Drosophila melanogaster: one gene and its partners. The protein of the gene in region 1 interacts with the protein of each later gene in a pairwise test. Each region holds a gene or a part of one and is shown in the gene's direction. Other genes may lie near its edges.

Region 1 (5,033 bases):
CTAACCGGCACATCCGACTTTACGAAACCTTTGTTCCAGTGAGCCAAGGTATGCTAGAGATTTCTGGTTAGCTCGGTATATCATGTTTGAGGACAAGCTTGTTGCATCGTAGCGCTCCTGTAAAAATAAAACTTTAATCATTGAAAGTTTTACAATAGTTTACAAAATTGTTCACTACTGCTAATAATATCTTCTCCTGCCTTCCAGTTCATCCGCTAACACGGAAGTTCTACGCCCAGTATGAGCAACGCCAGCCGACGGATACCTTGAGGTACCTACGGCACACTTGGCCTGAGAAGCATGTGGAGCGTCAGAGGCAGCTCGGAAAAGCTGTTCCGCTCCTGGAGTCGCAGGTGTACGGCTGGTTGCCGCTCAAAAGTGGAGAGCGAGCCGCCGATCTGAACTTTCTGCATGCCAAGAAGGTGCGCTGCGGCATGACTGTTCACGGGGAGCGCTTGGTGGCGGAGAGGATTACGGCGCGTCCTCCGTTTAACGGACTCAGATTCCTGCTTCACTAATCCTACGGCGAAGAAATGTCGCACGCTGACCGCCATTATAAATTTATAATTTTTTTTTTAACATAGTGTTAATTTTTTTTTTGTAAACAAATTAATTATGATTAAAAAGCAAAACTAAGCCACGCTAGATCATTATTAAGAAACGCATCTTGTCTAATTCAAATTTAGTAAAAAAAAAGGTGGCAGCTCTCCCTCGATGATTTAGTTTCAGGGCTACGACGTCGATTATTTTTTGTTTATTTATATTGTTTTCATTTACTGTTGCTTCAAGCAGGCGAATGAACCTGGAACAGACTCCTCCTGTAATGCGCACAGCAACCGCCTGAGATTCTCGCAGTAGCCACGCAACATGGTGGGTACGGGTGTGAGTGAAGTGGGTGTTCCGGCATCTTCGGAAGAATCCGTAGATTTCGGCTGGAATCGGCATCGCAAGTCAAAGGTCGCGTTTCACGGACTCAGTGGCAGCCGGCATCTAATCACTTGGGTTCTTTGACTCACATAATATTCATAACTGATTTGATTTGATCGACTCTGCAGGCTCACTCGAACAAGGCTCGCAAAGCAGCCAAAGAGGCAAACGCCAAGAAGTCTGCGGGATCGGGAACAGAGAGCAAACCGGAGCACGTAAAGATACATGGCCCAGGCGATCGTAGTGCAGGAGTTCTGACTGGCGACCAGTTCCTGGAGAGCTTGCTCCAGACTCTCTACAGGTCATGTATGTCCACTAGTTGAAGTACTATCTGTAAAAGCGCTTAATTGCTTACTGCCACAATTAGTTACTTATATATGTACTACTCTGTACGGTTGTTAACCTGTTTTATGCATCACACCGCGTAACAAAAGTTGCCTTTGTTATAACGTTGCCATATTGCAGGGCTTCAAATCTGCCGCCTGGCAGATTTTGTGATGTCCGAGCTAGGTGGAAATGATTTCCTGGAGGCCACCGCGGCCTGGTGCACCCGGAATCCGCACGTTGCTATCTGCCTGCTAGCTGGTGGTCTTGTATTCATGCTGCCCTTCCTTATAATATTTGGGTTTGGAATAGCCACCATGGTTATGACCTTTACAGGTTTGCTGGTGCTAGAAGGTGCGTTCCGTAGTGTTTACCAGAGATCACGTTCTTATCGACTCGTTTTAGGCACACTCCTGACCATTGTGTCCATGGTGTTCTTCGCCTGCCTGGGAGGACTAGTCATAATGGTACCTCTCTTCGGTGTCGCCGCTGTTGCTGCCTATTTCGGATTTGCCCAGGTGTATGGCCTATGTGATGGAATAGAGATCCATAAGAGCGCGTGGGTCATGTTCTTTAGGGATCAACGGAAGGCCGGCGATCCGCCGCCAGCTGCTGTGACCATAACCGATGAACCCACTTCTACGACTGCATAAACCAATATTGCTTGCCCAACTTAAATATGTATTAAGAAATTAAAGACCAGTGTTTGAATACTTTTGGAAATTTAAAAAGTGCGCTTTCTATTTTGAAGCAAGTTGGCAGCCACCTGCGATAGAGGAGTTATCGGTTATCTGTTCTGCGCTCATATACACAGTTTTCATAGTCGGGGATTTTTGTCGAATTTAAATATCTAAGTGCGTCAAAAGTGCGTTAACCTGCCTTTGAGCAGATAAATTTACTTTCGAAGCGGTAAGTAATAGTAAAGTCATAGATATTTCTTTAATTCGTCGCCCAAAAACAATAGTTTTTGGTCGTACCTGTGTTGTCATACACCCTCATGTACACTCAGGTGCTTGTGTTGGTAAATGTTTATACAAGATAAACGGTGAGTTCGAGATAACATGATAACATGAACTAGAAATAAATTCGCCTTAGCTAAATTATAAATATTGTGAATTGAGTTTCTTAAGGATGAAATGCTATACAAATTTCGTGAGATTTTTGTGTTCTCAGAACAAAAAAAATTTGAAAAATTCCTTTGGCCTATCGCACAGGGCCCATCGAGTTATCGGGACAGCAGCAGGCCATCGCTAGTTGGGTTTCGTCGCCATATACACAGTTTTTCTCGAGCAGACAATTCGCTGTTATTTTGTTTCTTATAGCGTTTTAAATAAATAAATCCTGCTCTAAAGCAGACTTAAATTCCTTGGACGCGGTGAGTACTGTTAGTCGGTAGTGAATCCGTTTGGAAAGCCAAAGTTTCTGTGTGCCATGAAAGTTGGAAAGCCATGGCAAACAAGTCGGCGCGGGGGTGGGCAGGGGTTCGCTGGATGTGCGCCTGTGTATGTGTGTGTGTATGATCTGGATACACACAAACGGCATTTTTATGTATTCCTCCCCCGTAAATCGGGCGCTTGTTTTGTTGCTCGCTGGAATGTAAACAATGCCACAGACAGGAAATCGTTTTCTTCGAATCTAGAGGCAGGCTTATCGTTAGGTGTTTTATCTAATCGACAACTGAAATGGAGTTGGGATTCTTTCTGAGCTGCCTACGCGAGTATGTGTGTGTAGGCACAATCGTTTGGATGTGTGGCAACTCTGCGCAGCACTGCATTTGTATGCTGCACTGCCGCGGCCCTTTACTTTCTCTCCCAGTCTCTTTCCCTGTCCCTTTCCCGCACTCCGCACGCGCGGTGTTGCAAGTGCCTTGCTTTGCTTGCGCTCTCCGCATCTGGATTCTGTTCCGTTTAAACGAGCGTGCTGGTCGGTCGCATTTTCCGCTGCGCCTTTTTCGAGAGAAGTGAAAAATCCATTTTGTTTTTTGTTGGAGTGCATGAGATTTGAAAGAGTGCTAAACAAAGTAATTAAATAACTCAAGGTTCGTGGCCAAAGTCTTCGGCAGGTAGACACACACATACCCACAAATACCCGTTCTACCTGCGTAAGAATGTATTAGTGCGTTTGTTTGTATACGCAGCATATTTCATATTATGCTTCGGCATCTCAAAGCGGAAATGAGTTAAAAAAAAAGACCAACGACTAGAATAAGTGACTAACGGACGATATCTGCGTCTGTTGGCAGTCTGCAAACACAACAAGCCCTTCTTTCCGGGGCCCCCATTTAGTGGAGTTCCGTGGTCTCCATCCGAAGCACACACGAACTCCATGTTATTGACTGTCCAGCACATTACTCATATACTCTCCGTCTCTTTCTTGCAGGTGTGGTGTAAAGCGCCTCAATCACCAAGATGAGTTACATGCCAGCCCAGAATCGAACCAGTAAGTATTTCCAGCAGCGGTACTCTTCCCTTTCCCATCTTCCAGGGAGTATGCAAAGAGCATCAAAGTTAACTGTGTATCAGAGTGTTCCACTTTGGGCTTTTGTATACCCAGTCCAAATGCAGTTGTATACAGGATCCGATTTCATCAAATTAGAGATGATATTGCGTTTCAATGGACGCAATTAAGTCATGGTAGCTCTAGAGTTTAGAACATTTAGGATAAATAGTCAGAATACATGGCCCTATGAAGGGGATGCAACAGCGCATTGTATCTGTGAAACAATTATCCCCGTATCGCAATACAATAACAACCCCTCTCCAACGTTAAATGAGGGAGCGATGCTTGTTTTTGACAAATTTGGCAAATTTGACATAAAGTATTTGCTTTTGTCATTTGTTTCTGATATTCCCTTTGTGGGTTGTCTGCAGAATACAGGGTAACAACTATATCCATCCACCCCAGACAAATAATTTGTGTACATCTACATACTTGTAATGCTTGATGATCTTTTTTTTGTTGGGCCATCAACCACCAGCGGCCTGTGCTTATATCCGATTCATCAAAAAAAAAAGCGCTCCCTTCTACTTCGGAGTTTGAAATTTACACTTTTCCGCTGACGCAGTAAACGGAGTAGGAAAGAAGATTTCTTTTTGACACTTGATTTGCAGAGCGCGTTGGTGAGGCTCTCAGAGGCGCAGGAGAGGACTTCACCAAAGGGGAGGAGCTCGTTAATGCATGTTGGCTTCATTGAACTCCCATCACTTTTGCCACAGAAAGTCGAGGAATGTCAATATCTAGGACGACAGTAGTGAACAGTTCATAGCCATTTAGGAAGTGGCCTTTTAATTCGACCACTATTAAGTATTTAGTTTAGTTTTCAACTAATTGCTGTACAACCCCGAAACCCCCTTGAGTAGGCCGCTGCTCACTATCCTTTGAAACTCCATTCCCTCCCCATGCTATCCACTTACGCACACACACATTCAAGGACTCGTGTACTTGCACGTGGCACTCCAACCCACGCCACCCTTTTGCCATCGCTCCTTGGTCTTCTCCGGGGACCTTGTTCTCGTACCCCGTCTCCCGAACTCGCAGTCGAGTTGGCTGCACATTTTTCTTGGCTTCTGCCTTTGCTTTTTTCTGGCGCTGCTGCTGTGCAGAATTTAATTAGTAAGCGGCAACATGCAATTAAAGGCTCCGCCCGCGCCCTCCATCCCAACACAGTACTCCATTCAAGTGCGTGGCCCACTCGACGGATATGGCGAAGAAAAAACGCTTAATCGATTTGGGAAATGAAACGAAAAGCGATTACAGTATTACAGTCGCATGTGCTTATAGCG
Region 2 (4,783 bases), on another chromosome or scaffold:
TATGATTTCGAAACCTAACATTTCTAGGTTTGTTAGTTCCCGGAACTACTCTGCTAGTGATCAGGAACATGTATTCTATATATATATACTAAATATATATATAGTAAATATATATATATAGTAAATATATATATACTAAATATATATGTACTAAATATATATATATATATACTAAATATATCTATTCTAAATGTATATATATACTAAATATATATACTAAGAGAATATATATCGTAAAGGCTTCCATCTAGCTGTTGCATACTTCTATTTTAATTGTTGTTTACTATAAAAGCTAGTAGGTTGATATTCACCGTACAGATCCTAGAGACCAAGACGCAGCGCCACATTGTTGACTCATGTTGCCACGCCCACAAGCCGCACAAAACTTCCACGCCCACACTTTTGAAAAACGTGTTGATATTTTTTTTATTTTATTTAGATTTATTAGTCTTGTAAATTTCTATCGATTTTCAATTTTTGTCACGCTCACTTTAACGCTCTAAAGCCGCCGAACCAGTCACTCCCACGCCTTGGAACAATTTTAAAATTTTTTTTCATTTTACTCCTCAATATCTATTGACATCCCAGAAAAATTATGAAATTTCACATTCACACTAGCTGAGTAACGGGTACCTGATAGTCGGGGAACTCGATTATAGCATTCTCTCTTGCTTTTTTCTTAGGTCGAGTCACTGGACTTTAGAGGCCTTTTTTAAAATGCATGGATTTAAAATGTATTAAAGTAGGTTTTTTATTTGTCTAAAAAACTTCTTTGTGAAAAGCGAAAAATATTTATATATATATATACAAATATATTTTTTGTTGACAACCGAAAATAAACTTTCTTCGAAGACATATTAATACTAACGAACATAATTATGAGCAAGTAAACAGTTGAATTGGCCAATTAAGATTAGTGATAAGAAGTTTTACACATCTTTAATTTAGAATCAACCGATTTTTTCAACCGTTTTCAGTGAATAAATAAATTTCTAATATATATCCTCGAAAAATGTAATTTTCAAGTACTAATTTATAAAAAATATTTTGATAATATTTTTTAAATCAAAATGTTAAATTATTTGCTTTAAGTTAAGGTGGTCTAGAAAATTTAAATTTAACTCAAGCTTAATATAATATTGTTTAGTTTACTGTATTCCGTTGTTGAAGCCCATACATATATATATAAATATATATATTCGTAGATATGATTTGAAATTACATGGCGCCATCTATATCTGAAGGCACTTGAGTTTTGCACGTGTTATGTTGCCAGGTAAAATCCAAAAAATTTAACATACATACACAAAATATGAATAAAATTAAAAAATGGGTTACTTTTAATCTGGAATTACGTATAGAAAAAATGTAAATTAAAGTCAAATTTGAAAAGAGTCGTACCAACATTGGATGCTATGAATATTTTCATGTAAAATATTTGTAAAAATACATCATTTTGCGATTTTACTTGTAAAAATGTAAATTTACGCAGCAGTAAAATTCACATTACACAGAAGTACATATTTTTAAAATACAGATTAAACAACTTTATTATTTCTTAAGAATGAATTAAGAATGAAAAAAAAAACAAATTTAATAGTATCTATTACTTTTTTTTTACAAATTCGTTACAAACATGTGCTCGATACAAAGTTTGTGCGCAATGTTTCTCACGCAGTTATTTTCGAGCCGATGGCTCGTCCTTGTCTCTCTTGTTCCGCGTCGTACACCTTTATCGTTAAGTTTTATTTTTAAAGACCGAAAGAGAGTAAATCAGACAATTGTTGTGGCAGTATATACAATTTTGCGAAAAATCTATCTAAAGGAATCAATGCCTAAAAATAGTTGAACAATTTCCGGAAAGAACAATTTATGAACACAAATGAAAAAAATAATCTTTATTCGATTTGTCCATTAGAACACAAGTAGAATAATAACACGAAGTGTATGATGAAATCGAGTGTTTACATATAAAGTGTATTTATAAATTAAATATAAGTTTTAAAAATAGGATGTCATCTTTTGTTTCCATAATAATACTAATATAGTGTTGATCGATTTAGTAATATAAATATGTCGGAATAAATGGAGATAGTATATAAACCGATTATTGACCATATTAACAGTGAACTAAATAAGTAAAACAATTGTGGCTTCCTCTAACACAATGTGGAAATTACAATTAACAAACAAATAAAACAAAAAAAAATTACGACCTCATATTGCAACAGTCGAGCAACAGGGTAACGTTAATTAAAATGAGATTTCTATATAATTAAAAAAATGAAAACAACGCATGGATTCTGGATTATAACATAAATATTACGCTATCTAAATCTCATTAATATTGCAAGAAAATTTTATAAACAACGAACCCTGTATGAAATGTTGAAAAGTTGTACAATGGTGCTTGAAAAAGTACTAATTTAATTAAATTTGAGTCATCAAGGTGAACTAAGATTCTAAAGGTTAATAGAAATGTTTAAAATTTTGAAATACAATTTATCCAATAAATAATATAAATAAAATATAAAACAAAAAGTTAACGAATGACTAACACCGAACGGATTTTAACAGCAGGCTCCCACAAAATCCGATAATGCCACACTGTGGAACAACTAATAGTGAAATTAATTTAAACTCAAACGAATTAATCAGTTACCAGAAAAAGAAGAGCAATGAGGATCTACAAAAAAAGCACGATAAAAAATGTTCAATCAATTTGAAAACGAGCCAGGTCCCTGATGGTGGGTTCAATAACCAATATACGCAATTAACTGCCAACAAAATAGAACAATATAACTGCAATGATTTGGATAAAGTTTGTATTGTACCATCAAGTAGATCAGACGGAATGGAGGCATCGTTTTCCGAACTTCTTTTAAGTCCGAATAAATTAATTTCTCAGCCTTGGCAAACCGCTGAAGAAATAGAAAATTGGCAAAATGACAGTTTTCGCCAACGAAATGAAATGTTTTCTTGTATATATACGAATAGTATGCTAAATCAGCAGCCATGCTCGCAGCAGCAGCTTTTGGCCACACAACTTTTATACGCTCGGCTTCTTCGGTCTCAGCTAGCTGAACGGGAATTTCATTCGAATAAATTCAACATGGTTCATTATTCGGGATCTAAAAAGACCATGCTTCGAGAAGATGAGCTTCTGTCAACCCCATCTTCGCAGGATAATAATAACAATATTAAGTTAATTAAAGATATCGAAAACAGCATAAGTTGTGTAGATCCCCCTTTGTTTGAATTTTCTAACGTTCATCAAAGAGCAGAACAAAAAAATAAACAAGACGACAAAAATTGTTACTCACCAAAATTAAAATCGAACAAGGAAGCCCTAGATGGGTACGACTTACAACACACGTGTGATTTTATCAGGGAGCAAAAAAACATTCTTATCGACATTAAAAAAAAACTAGATAATCTCTCAGATAGCTCAGGTAAATTTAGGAAAAGGTTAAGTGTACGTCAAAGTCACATTGAAGTAAATAATGGCTCTAATTCAGCCCTTGAGGAAAGTGTAAGACGACAACTAAATGGAAATCGCAAGTCTATTGAAAACTTACTGGAAGAGGTAAAACGATTATATAATCAATGGAGCAGCGCTGAGCTCTATTATGTTCGCAGCTTACAACGATTAGGACTCCCATCAGAGGAAGATGGTGAATATACATCTACACCAACACATACTATCATGGCATTAGCTGCTATAGCACTGTCTAATGAAAGTATTTTGCCACAGAAAACAAATGCAGTGCACTCTAAGATTCCAGATGTTGAAAGTGAGTCCGATTTTTTTTTGACCTCAGCAAAACCTAAAACGTTGGTCGAAATAGAAGATATAATATTACAACTCGCATCATCTGTTAATATGCATCAATCCAGCTCTGCTAGCACCCCTCATGAATCCTACAGTGATAGTGTTAAAAGCGATTGCGAAGAATCAAATTCAGCACCCACTTGCATATGGCATTCGACAAGGCAAACCTTTCGCCACAAAAAAGACGTAGAGCCTTGTAGCACTGCAGCTGAGATTATTTTAGAATATGCTTCATTGTCTTCATCTTCTAACATTGAAACCTCTCGCTTGCTTACATCTGCATCAAATTTAACAGATGTTACAGAAAATTATAATGTCACAACGCAATTGCCTATTGTGTTTAATTACAATCGAGAAAGTTCAGCTGAGTCAATCGTTACCGATCCTCTACTTGTTCCTGAGTTTTCTACTGCACCTTCAACCCCATCGACTGGTAGTAATAGTGGATGCTCTACTGGAATGGTTTCTGGAATTTTCGGGCTAAGTCAAAACCGAAGAAAACAAAGACTTGCAAGGCACATTGAAACTCTGACTACAAATTCTTTTAAATCGAATGCAATAAGGGGAAATGTTGACAACGAAATCACTAATCAGCTGAAAACGTCGCCATCAATTAGAGCATTGCCAACTGAAAATGTTTCCCATTTAATTACTAAGACATTGTCTTCGGCTAATGCATCTTTAACAGCGCAGGAACTTTCCATAACTAACCTGTTTAAAGAGCGCCTATGCGCTTTACAGGGAAATGCCGGATCAATGAAAACTGAAATTTTTCCAATGATAGATGCCCCATACGACTTAAGTATTGGAAGCAAGACAAAACACATGTAATTTTATTTCGCCTTACTTGGTTAAACCCTTTATTTCTTTGTAAAACTGTTGAAGTCGATGCTCACTCCTAATAGTACCTATTTTCTTTAATGAACTGTTGATTATTGCAAGCAGCCTGTA
Region 3 (4,699 bases), on another chromosome or scaffold:
CACCATTTAAGCTAGTTTCTATGAATAAATGAGCGCTTGCAGCAACAGATAAAAGTTCATTGACTTTGATTTATTTATGAATGAAATATTCATAATGCATAGGCTTTTTAATTAGAATAATAACATTAAATCGCAGGCAGTAATTTCTTCCGGTGTAGGAACCACCTCTATTCGCAAATGCAAGCACTTTTTTTTTGGGTGTGTCGGGGGGCGGTGGGAGGTGGGCGGTGGCAGGGGGCGTGGAACGAACAGGTATTTTCGGTTTAGTTGTTACGAAATAAGTGGCGAAAATTGACGTGCCGAAAGCGAAGGCAAAAAACCAAAACAAACAAACACGAAAACTCAGGCAAATGCGCCGTACGCTTTGCATTGTTTTTTCGCCCACTTTTTATGGATCGAATTTAACGACAATCTTTGGCCTTTTGTTGCTTTAATTGCCCTAGCTGTCCGCACTCACCTTTGCTGGACTTTTCGCGCAGTGCAGCTGCCTCGAAGGAGCCCAATGCCTGCATTATTTCGCGGTCGCCACTTTCCTTGCGGTCAATCGATTTTTCAGAGCGCCCCGAAAAGTCCAAGTGCAGCAGTGTAACGAATTCGCAGCTTTCGTTCGCTTTTCCGTGCATTTCGGAATTTGCACTAATTGGTAGGATTCCCCGGGGAATCGAATCCGTCACTTTTAATCCTGTTTGCTGTTCTTTTCGCACTCGCTTTTGTTTTTGCAATGCAGGCTCCTGCACTTGCGGTACACACACATACCAGCAGCTGCTACGGCCGCCGCTGCACACACACACACGCACAGCGGGCAAACGGGCATCTCTCTAGCTCTACCCGTCTCGCTTCAACCCACTGCCGCGCGCATTTTCACATTTCCCGCATTTGTTGCTACTTCGCTTGATTTATTCGGCGTTCATCTGGGCGTTCCGTTTTCACTTTCGCCTGGCTGGGGCAACAACAAGCTCGCGATCGAGTATCTCAGCTCGGCCGTCCGCTGCGAACGAGTATCTGAGTAGCTGAGTAACTGAGTATCTGAGCGTGAGTATCTGTATCCGAGTGTCTCGCGGAATCGGAATCAACACAAACAGCTGTTAGGGCTGCGATGGCAAGAATCGATAGCTTAGCGATAGGAAATCGATAGTTTGGGATTTAAAAATTGAACAAACAAAATCGTTTATTAACTTGATTTGGGAAATCAAACAGGTGTAATTCATACATCAGCGCAGTCTCCTGGCCTCGCGTTCAGTTTCCAGCAGCGACAGGATGTCGCCCACGCGAACAGGTCCTTTGACATTCCGAATAATCTGGCGGCTTTGGTCGCCGAGGAACTCCACCCGCACCTGGGTGCACTGCCCTTGGGATCCAGTGCGTCCAAGGATCTCGACCACGCGAGCGTACTGAGGCTTGTCCATGCTGAATACGAAATTCGAGAATTGTTCGACAATAAAAGATTTGAATTTGAAGCTGTGAGTGCTGCTGCCTTTCCAGTCGATGAAAATAGAAAACCTATCTACCCTTCTATCATCCCTGGCGCCACCTGTAGGCCTTGTAGCGCAACATAAGTGCGGACGCGAACCACAAGGTGACCCCAAGTCGAGCTGCCACCTTTCGCAGTGTTGGCAATCCAGTTGGCATCCCCGAGGCGAGCTATCGAACCAGTTCGATTTCGAACCACGCAACTCTAGCATGTAATCGTTCGTCTCGCCGTCTAACATTTGTGTCGAACTACATTTTGTTTTGCCATTCAATAAATCTATTATTTACCACTGAATAAGCGGCGCCACGGAGCCCTAAAAGAGTGTGCGCGTTCCGGAGACTCGGCGCACAGCGGCCCGCAGCGATACGTCCATGAAAATCGAACGGCAACAGCAGCAGCACCCACAACCAGCGGAGGCAACAGCAACAAAATACACAAAATAAAGAAGCAGCAGACGGAAAAGTGCACAAATGGTGCAGAACTGAGTGGAAAGGCCACCGAGCACAGATTTCTCACAGTGCAGGAGCCCGGAGACGCCGAAATGCTCTAGAGGGCGGCGCTTCAGCACGATTTTCTCCCCGCGGAGAGCCCAAAGTTGCCAGCGGACGAGGATGACTGCTCCTGGCGAAGCATTAAGTTAAGAGACATACAGCCATTGTTTACAGCAGGCAGCTCAGACACCGGGATAGGATAGGATAGGATATGCCCTCGGGCCAGCCCACTTGAGTTGAGGAGAGCAGAGGAGAGGATCGGGATCCGTGCGCGAGGAGAGGATCTGCAGCCTTGTTTAGCATTTAGTCCGGTCATCGTGCCAGCGCCTTGTTAACCACACTCTCTTGTTTACGTTTGCTTGTTTGTTGAACTCCACAAATCGTCCTTCCATTAATTGTTAGTCACGCGTCCCTCTCGTTGAGCACACTAATCAAAATGAAAGCATCCTCGTCGATATCGAAATTGAAGTTGAAATTGAAATCGAAATTGAAAGCTAAGTTGCAATTGAAATCGAAGCGTCCAGCCGTTAAAGCTACAATCAAATTACACCCGTCCAAACCCACCTCGTCATCGCCATTGCCATCGTCACCGCCATCGAAGATTGGAGCCAGGGCCGTCAGGACTGCGCCAGGATCAGTCGTCTGCCATCCCAATTGAGTGAAGCCGAGGATACACGAATCTAAGGGTGAGTACTGCTCTTGGAATTCCCATGCACAATCCATAACTAATGCTATTACTTTCTTACGCAGTTTGTGGATTATTGGATTTGCACAACTTACTTAAGGACTAATATTAATACTTTAAGAAAGGCACAACATAAGTCTGATTAATGATCTAGTTGTATCAAGGGAAATGATTGGAATTAGACAATTTATTCACGTCTAACTAATATCTCAAATATTAATAGTAATTTGAATGATCCTTTGTAAGAAATGTGAGCATATATTTTGCAATAATAGTAACTTTATGAAATGTATATTTCATTAAATCGAAGGATGATACCTGATCATTGAAAAAGTCATTTAGAACGCCATGCAAATTCTAATCATCCAACTAAAATATTGCTCAATTAATTAGTTTGCAGCACATTTAATTTATTTCTGAGGTGTATGTGCCAATGGGATCCCATAGAAACTGTATATATCTTTTAACTTCATTAACAAATCAATTAATTAACAAAACAGTAAAACATAATTATATTATCATCCTGCATTCATATCCATAATATACAATGTTACCTATTTAACAATTTACACATCCTCTTCTTTCAGGTACTGAATGTACTGCATCAACTGTAATATAAGCTACGTAAATAGGAATTTATGCGAATAAGAGTAATTAAGTGAAGCGTGTAGTTAAACATTTCTACAAACCGGACATAAAAAGATTCAACCATCTTAAAGGACTTGCAGCGCTATGGATTGATATGTTCTCAAGCGTTGGCCATTTCTCACTTGAGTTTAATCGGTTAGTGTTCTATCACCCTTTATATTCAAAGCATTCTTTAGATTTATTTAGGCGTTTATTGGATGCACCCGTGCGCGAAATATTTTCTCCCCCACAAATCCAATATGTATGGCTTATTGAAAAAAAGGAGGCACTTGGGTGGTTGCTACTGATTGATTTAAAGTTCGCTGTGTTGAAAACTAATTCGATTTGGGCTCTGAAATGTAAATTTATTTAAGCTGAGCCAAAAATAATATTTATACAATTTTATCTCTATTAAAATACCTTCCAATTTTATCTTTGATGCAATATTTATGACTGGCATATAAAAAAGTTTTTTTGTTTAATTTATTTATGGTATTTGTATTATGTTTTGGTTTGAATGATTATTTATGAGATGCACGAGACTAAAGATTTTTCTTAAAATTATTTTCATTGTTTTGGACTTACTTTCTTGGCGAACAAAAATATACCCAATGGCCAAATCTCTTTTCTCCCAATTGATAATTGATAATATCCTTATGTATAAAGCTTGCCTATTATATATACATATTTTATATACATTTATTTATATATATGTATATTTAAAACAGAGTAAAAGTGTTCATAATTTTTTTAACTATCCCATAATGCTTGGTAAGGCTAGAAACATTAGTCTTCAGATAAAACTTTAACTTTAACATATAACATAAATTTATACCAAATGGATAACAATGGCTCTAATCTTTTTTTTTTCCAAACTCTTAACTATATGTTTACAACCTTAGTCTTTCGAACAAATATTTTAGTATTATATATTGTCTTAGCTTATTTCAAAATGATTTCAATTGATCTAATCTTTTCTTCATTTCACTATTCTTTCAGGAACAACTGGAACCATTCGGAATACCAATATCTTCCCCTGATTTCATGTTGAATTTTTTATGCAAATTACATATGTGAGTATACAACTTATTTTTACTTTGTCAATGGTTTTGAAGTTTAAGACAACTACGATTGCATGCGAGAATCTCAGAAATATAAACTAGTATGAAAAACTGATTTACATTGATATACTTAGGTCCTTTTCCATTTCTCGAAACCTAATAATCATGACATCCTGAAGGGTTTTAATAAATCCTTTTTAATTGGTTATTATTCGGAAACTACCTTTTCACTCAATTGAAAAATCCTCTTAGTGCAATAAGGATACCATGATTTCACTATTGTTTATTGGGCTGCAGCACTCTGATTAAGGAATTGAATAAGTTTCCGTTGTCTCGGAGAGGAGCAACAGTTGACCGCGCCCAA
Region 4 (6,812 bases), on another chromosome or scaffold:
TCCACGGCGTACGTACGCGACCAAAGACGCGAAATGTACGAGGATCTGCGGCGAGCGGTAACCGTGCTCCGGTTTACCGACCATAAGCAGAAGGAGCAGCCCTTCATGTGGCTGATAGACCATAAGAAGAAAGCACAGGTCATGCACACCATGTGGCTGATAGAGTCCAATCGACTGTGGCATGGCAATACTAGTGCCAGTCTCCAGGCGGACGACATGCACTTCATAGAGATTGTGCGCACGTTGCTGCAGATATTCGACGACAACGTGGAAACCTACTGGATAGCAAAGGGATTCTACAAGTACACCCGCGAACTGAAGAAGGAGTGCGTCAAGCTGAAGGAGCAAACGCAGAATATACTGAAGCGCGAAGATTTGTCCTTGCTTAAGTGAGTTTGCATATGGTTAGTCGGGTTATTTGACCAATTTTCTTCGATTACTCCTTATAGTCACCTGGAGCTTCTGGGCCTGTTTGATGGCAACTCAACGCTACTGGATAACTGGTATATAACCTGCTTTGCTGGAATAATCTGTACAACTCATTTGGTCAAGATATGGGACAAAGTCTGTGGAGGGTCCCGGAAGATTGTTGTTTTCCTGTTTGTAGAACTAGTTAAGGACATAAGGTCCTCGATACTAAAGCAAACATCTTTAGCAGACGTCAAAAGACTTATAGAAACGGTAAGTAAATAAGGAAACCATTTGCTAAGCCATAACTTATCCAAAATTTGCCTTAGGTAAAGGATCTTGACGGTGTTATTATCGTAAACAAGGCCATCAAATCACTACAAAACAACAGCAGCGAAGTCGAGTACACGCACTAAGTAAATCTACACTTTTATATTGGACATGTATATAGCAGAATGAACTAAATGTATTTGAAGACCACGTCCTTTTTATCGCCCACCGTTTGCAGTTCCAAGGTCACTGGACACTGCATCCAATAGGAGAGCAGCTCCTCCGTGTAACCAATAAGGAAGTACATTTTTCGCGGTGTAATCGCCTGCCGAATAAGGGCCGCGATCCTAATGGTGTTGTGCTGTCGCTTGATAATGACCTCGGAGCAGACGAGGGCATGCCATGTGCCGGTGACAAACTTGCGGATGAACACATCCTCTATGGCGGTCTGGGACGGACGCAGGGCATCCTTCATTGTTGCTAAGATAGAAGGTGGCCATCAAAATGCTTCCTTAATAAAATTTTCTCACAACTTACACGTGTTCCATGAGTTCCACGATTTGCGGTGGCCAATAAAATGCGGCGGATTGGCCATCTCGTAGGTAAGAGGCCTGTTTCGCTTTGTGGTTATGCGGTATCGCCCGGATTGCACGCGACAGCACACGGAGCTGGTGTGGAATCCTGACCGGCTGAGCTGCTGCACCTCGGTCGCCACCTGGGGCAACAGCTGCAATAGATTAGGTTATTTTAATATATAATTTGTCCTGTTTGTTGTTATTTAACACACCTTTTTCAAGAAGTTCATTATTTTGCGGCAGAAACAATTTTGCGTCCAGCAACAGCTGATTGACGTGACGTAACGGTTCGCTAGAGATGGACAAATTTATAGATAAGTATTCGATATTATTATTGTGTAGTGAAAATATTTTCTATAAAATAAAAAACAACATTGAAGGAAGTAGTTAAATAAAAACACAGAAAGATTAATTTTTAGTTGTGTAAATGCCCTTTTTAGTTCTTAAATGCAATACTTGGATCTCTATTGCATTGATTAAAATCGATTTTTATTTTGTTTTAAAGCGGGGCAGAGTTGTCAACAGTTGTCGGTGGGAAAATGTAATAATGTAATGTAATAAAATTATTGCACGCTTATTTAAAATATATAAATAAACAACATTTTGAGAGCTTCCTTAATAAATAGAGTTAACTTTGTATTAATCCCTTTATTCGAAAGAACTTTGACTGATCATTGAACTTGGGCAGAACTAGCTATAAATTAGCTTAATCGGTAGCACTGGAGCGCTGAGCCTGCGCGCTTGGAAAATGGCTTAAACGCAGGCCATCTCAAACAAAGATCGAGGATCTCAGATCAGAAGGAACTACCTGTTGAAGCGACCGTGCAACAGGACTCATCCAGAAGCAAAGCTGCAAAGGTTTATTCCCAGAATCCCTGGTATCCGAATGCACTAATAGGTGAGGATACATTCAAAGTAATGACGCTGAACGAGAGCGACGCTACTCGCCTGGAGCTGACGCGCAACTTCCTGGAACTGTCTCGAAATCCGGAAACATGCACCGCCCTGCGCAGCTCGGACTGTATCCAGCTTCTGGTGCAGATTCTGCACGCCAACGACGAAGGCCTCTCCACGGCGAAAAAGTACGCCAGCCAGGCGCTGCACAACATCGTCCACAATAATCCGGAGGAGAAGGAGCGCCAGCGGGAGGTGAAGATGCTGCGCCTGCTGGACCAGATCCTCGACTACTGTAACTTTCTGCACACCCAGTTGCAGAGCGGCGGTGAGGCTATCGCAGATGATGAAGATCGTCATCCGCTGGCGGCTATGAAGCTCCTGATGAAAGCCAGTTTCGACGAGGAGCACCGCCAGACTATGTGCGAACTGGGAGCCCTCAAGGCGATTCCCAATTTGGTCCACCTTGATCATGCGGTCCATGGACCGGCTGCCGGTAGGGAACAGTGCAACGCCCTCAGGAGCTACGGCCTCATGGCCCTCACGAATCTCACCTTCGGAGACGAGAACGTCCATAACAAATCGTATCTGTGCGGTCAGCGACAGTTCATGGAAGTGGTCATTGCTCAATTGAACACGGCTCCGGATGAACTGCTACAGGTGAGTTTAATCTTGGAGATTAAGAAAAAAAGATCGTAATTTAATTACCGTTGATCTCATCAGGTTCTTGCTGGTGTGCTTCGCAATCTTTCGTGGCGCGCGGACAAACACATGAAGACTATCTTTAACGAGCTGGGTACTGTGACCTCCTTGGCTCGAGCAGCCATGCAAAACAAGAACGAGAACACTCTCAAGGCCATACTTTCAGCCCTTTGGAATCTCTCAGCGCACTGCAGCACCAACAAGGCGGAGTTTTGTGCAGTAGACGGAGCACTGGCATTTTTGGTCGGAATGCTTAGCTACGAGGGTCCGAGTAAAACTCTTAAGATCATCGAAAATGCAGGCGGCATTCTTCGAAATGTATCGAGCCATATTGCGGTGTGTGAGCCGTACCGACAAATCCTAAGACGGTACAATTGCCTTGCCATTCTGTTGCAACAGTTGAAATCGGAGAGCCTAACCGTGGTAAGCAACTCCTGCGGAACTCTGTGGAATCTCTCGGCGCGCTGTCCCGAGGACCAGCAATACCTCATTGACCACAATGCCATCCCGCTCTTGCGGGCCCTAATCAGCTCCAAGAACTCCATGATTGCGGAGGGCAGTGCCTCGGCTTTGAAAAACCTAGTTAATTTCAGGGCCACTCAGGAGCTTATGCCCAATGGAGATGGTGGGTCACTGCCACTAGACAAGGAAGCTGGCCATGGAGGTACGCTGCCACGGAGATTCAGCTCACTGCGCCTAAGCTCAAATCCCACGGGATCGCTTAAGAAAGTGCGACCCTCAACAGTCAGCACAACTGGCTTTCTGAACAGAAAATGTGAGAGCCGAGAGTCCATTTACTCGGGCAAATCCGATTCCACTAAATACTCAACCAAGTCGGAGGGAGCGAAGAATCCCTTCGAAATTGTGACACCCACTGAAGAGCAGCCCATTGACTACTCCATGAAGTACATGGAGCACAAACCCAATAGCAGTAAGACCTTTGAGATCGACTTGGATCAGCCAACGGATTTCAGTGCTAGATATAAGGAGAGACGATCCGCTCAGACGGCACAGCCGGAGCTGAAGTCGGAGACCAATGAGATTAGAAGTAAGGAGTTGCAACTGACAAAGTCCTCCTCGGCCACGGAGCTGCGCAATAGTCCTGGCCTGGTGGCGGTTTCAGCAGCTAAGCAGAAAATTGCCACCGAAACGGAGACGGAAACGGCAGAGCGACCAATAAACTACTGTGAAGAAGGGACTCCCGGCAGCTTCAGTCGCTTCGACTCGCTCAACAGCCTCACAGAGAAACCGGAGAAATGTATGCCGCCAAAAACTCCAACGAAAACTGCGGTTCTCCCGGTGCACGTTGACGGAAATACGCCTCAAAACATCGATTCCGCACTAGAAACTCCATTAATGTTTTCGCGTCGCAGCTCTATGGACTCATTGGTTGGCGACGACGAAACGGTTGCCTGCGAGGACAATGGATCCGTGATCAGTGAATACAGCCGGATGCAGAGTGGTGTTATTTCCCCCTCAGAGCTGCCCGATTCACCCACCCAGAGTATGCCTCAATCTCCGAGAAGGGACAGAAAAGTGTCCACTCAAAATAACTTGGACACACCTGAACAGAAGCCCAGTACTGTGTTTGAGGACAAGTTGAACAGATTCCACGTGGAGCACACGCCTGCTGCCTTCTCCTGCGCCACCAGTCTAAGTAATCTGAGCATGATGGACGACTCTAATGCAAACGCTATTCGAGGACAGCGTGGAAATGACATCAACGGCAATGGGGATGCTCCTCGCAGCTATTGCACAGAGGACACTACTGCCGTGCTTTCCAAAGCGCCAAGCAATAGTGATCTGTCCATTTTGTCCATCCCGAATGATCTAAATGCGAATGAAGCGCAGCCAGTGCCTGCTCCGCGAGCTGATGTTACCGGAATGGACACTCGGATGCCGGCAGAAGATGCAATCTCTAAGATGCGCTGCGGTGGCAATGCATTGCCCAGTTATCTGCCAGTGTCGGATGAAATGAGCAAGTACTATGTCGAGGACAGTCCCTGCACGTTTTCGGTCATCTCGGGACTATCCCATCTCACTGTTGGCTCTGCTAAGGCTGGGCCTGTTCTGAAGCTGCCAATGAGGACTGCAGAAGAGGCTCAGGCACCCAAACTTCCTCCCAGACGTAGTGCCGTTCAAGGAGATGCGGAGCCACGCTTACCGCCGAAGAAAAGCGACTCACTGAGCTCATTGTCCATGGACTCGGATGACGACTGTAATCTTCTAAGTCAGGTGAGAAAAGGATACTTCATTCAAAACACTTGATATATTTCACCATATAAACATTTTGTGAGAGACTCACTCAAAAATAAGTGTCTTTGTAGATTTAGCAATCGGAATGTTGATATTTCACAAAAGTTAAATTTAAAATGCAGTCAGAAAATTCTCGCTAAAATCAGAAATATTAAAGTTGTTCCCTCTTTTTATAGGCCATTGCTGCGGGAAGTTGTCGACCTCAGCCCAGCGGTGCCAGTACCAGCTCCAGCCTGGCGAACGCTAGTACCAGCACTCTATGCAGGGAAAATGGGCAGTCAAAGAAGCAGGTGGAGCATGGCGATAAGCCGAACTACAGCTCAGATGACTCGCTAGACGACGACGACGATGATGCACGGTCCAAGTCGCTATTTGAGCAGTGCATTCTGAGCGGCATGCATAAGTCCAACGACGCCTTGGAGTCGGAGGGTGAGCCGCCGGGGCAGCGCCAGGAGATCAGTGCCCGGGATCGATTTGTCAGTAACCAGGTGCGCCAGATTGAGTCCATGTTGGCTGGGCGTCAGCACTAGAAGCGGATGGTTGGTTAATTGAGAAGCGCATGCATTTGTTTAGTGGCTTTTAATCTTGTCTACGCAATAATATTCTCACGGTCTCAATTTTCCTATAGTTCAGATTAAAAATTTGCACTTAAATTTAACTCTCCAACACGTGTAATATTATGTTTACCCTCTCACTAAACAATTAAGGAAACTAAAAAGGGTGATAAGAAATGGGATACAGTCGCGGTATAAATATAAATAAAAGTTGCGATCAACTGAGGTCCGGGTAACTCCTAACATGATGCTACTGTGATGAACTAGCTAGAGAGCTCAGTAGAAACGTTTTCGCGCGTTGCGATCCTTGAAGTAGGAGATGGCGAAGATGGCCACTGCAGCCGCCACGACAACCACGAAGAGAAGGATGAAGAAGATCTTGGCGTTGGACATTCCCGGCTTGGGATCTTCTTTGTGCTCGCGCGGGGGCTCGAATGTCTTGGCATTCGGTATGATATTGGAGCGCCGGATAATCTCATCGTGCTGCGAACAAGAAAGAAAGTAAAAAGATGGTTATTGCAACAAGAAAGTAAAACTGGTTTTCAGTAATATGATATAAATATTATAACACACGGCTTATAAAGATAAACATGATTAGGCATCAAACAATGTGTTTAAAGCCAGCTGCTTAATTATTACAAGTTGCAGCAATTAAAAACAAGTTCACTCTTTTTTCTTTATACGTATACGCAGTTATTGAAACTTAAGTCCGCTTTTGGGTTCCTTGCACTCCTTATCGCGTTAGCCAAATAGCAGACAGCTGAGTAATGCTTACTTCGCTTCCGAAGTTTGGCAAACAAAAGTGAACTTACATTTACGTTCAAGTCCAGGTCATAGAACTTGAAACTGTGAATATCGTGATTGTCGGACAGATCACCCGTCGTCGCAGACATGCCGAAGTGGTAGCCCGTGGGTAGCTCAACGTTGGCCACTACAAAGCAGTTCTTCCATTCGTTGCGGTTCTCCAGATCTGTGGAAACCGACAGAATGTCGTTTTCGTATCGAATGCTAACCAGCGTCTCGTACTCCACATTGCGGAAACGAACTTCGCAGCCGGCCAGCTGAGTGTGCGTTCCATCGCGATCGTGGTCGTAGCTCCAGCTGCCATTGTTCACCATGGCGCTGAGATATGGATGTTGGTGCTACAAATATA

What was found.
Region 2: the proteins of arm (region 1) and pan interact in a two-hybrid assay, tested with the Drosophila melanogaster proteins (3 studies listed by BioGRID).
Region 3: the proteins of arm (region 1) and Axn interact in a two-hybrid assay, tested with the Drosophila melanogaster proteins (2 studies listed by BioGRID).
Region 4: the proteins of arm (region 1) and Apc2 interact in a two-hybrid assay, tested with the Drosophila melanogaster proteins (4 studies listed by BioGRID).

Annotation. Positions count from the first base shown.
Region 1 is NC_004354.4:1,897,637-1,902,669, reverse strand, and holds the start of arm (armadillo), read left to right. Parts: upstream 1-2,023; 5' UTR 2,024-2,160; intron 2,161-2,496; exon of another isoform or gene 2,497-2,626; intron 2,627-3,059; exon of another isoform or gene 3,060-3,366; intron 3,367-3,630; 5' UTR 3,631-3,659; coding exon 3,660-3,690; intron 3,691-5,033. Other genes in the region: CG32801 (uncharacterized protein), read left to right, coding at 1-48, 208-518; Ldaf1 (lipid droplet assembly factor 1), read left to right, coding at 868-957, 1,056-1,233, 1,393-1,605, 1,657-1,904. UniProt on the Drosophila melanogaster protein: Isoform neural may associate with CadN and participate in the transmission of developmental information. Can associate with alpha-catenin.
Region 2 is NC_004353.4:88,615-93,397, forward strand, and holds the start of pan (pangolin), read left to right. Parts: upstream 1-1,740; 5' UTR 1,741-2,599; coding exon 2,600-4,659; intron 4,660-4,783. UniProt on the Drosophila melanogaster protein: Segment polarity protein. Functions together with arm to transduce the Wingless (Wg) signal in embryos and in developing adult tissues.
Region 3 is NT_033777.3:30,021,193-30,025,891, forward strand, and holds the start of Axn (axin), read left to right. Parts: upstream 1-1,649; 5' UTR 1,650-2,648; intron 2,649-3,234; 5' UTR 3,235-3,430; intron 3,431-4,273; 5' UTR 4,274-4,347; intron 4,348-4,699. Other genes in the region: RpS28a (ribosomal protein S28a), read right to left, coding at 1,212-1,406.
Region 4 is NT_033777.3:24,162,003-24,168,814, forward strand, and holds Apc2 (adenomatous polyposis coli 2), read left to right. Parts: upstream 1-1,963; 5' UTR 1,964-2,171; coding exon 2,172-2,807; intron 2,808-2,870; coding exon 2,871-5,084; intron 5,085-5,281; coding exon 5,282-5,635; 3' UTR 5,636-5,935; coding exon of another isoform or gene 5,936-6,142; 3' UTR 6,143-6,262; downstream 6,263-6,812. Other genes in the region: TBC1d7 (TBC1 domain family member 7), read left to right, coding at 1-389, 450-681, 738-824; mRpS24 (mitochondrial ribosomal protein S24), read right to left, coding at 869-1,158, 1,216-1,405, 1,466-1,483; CG5510 (uncharacterized protein), read right to left, coding at 5,936-6,142, 6,472-6,801.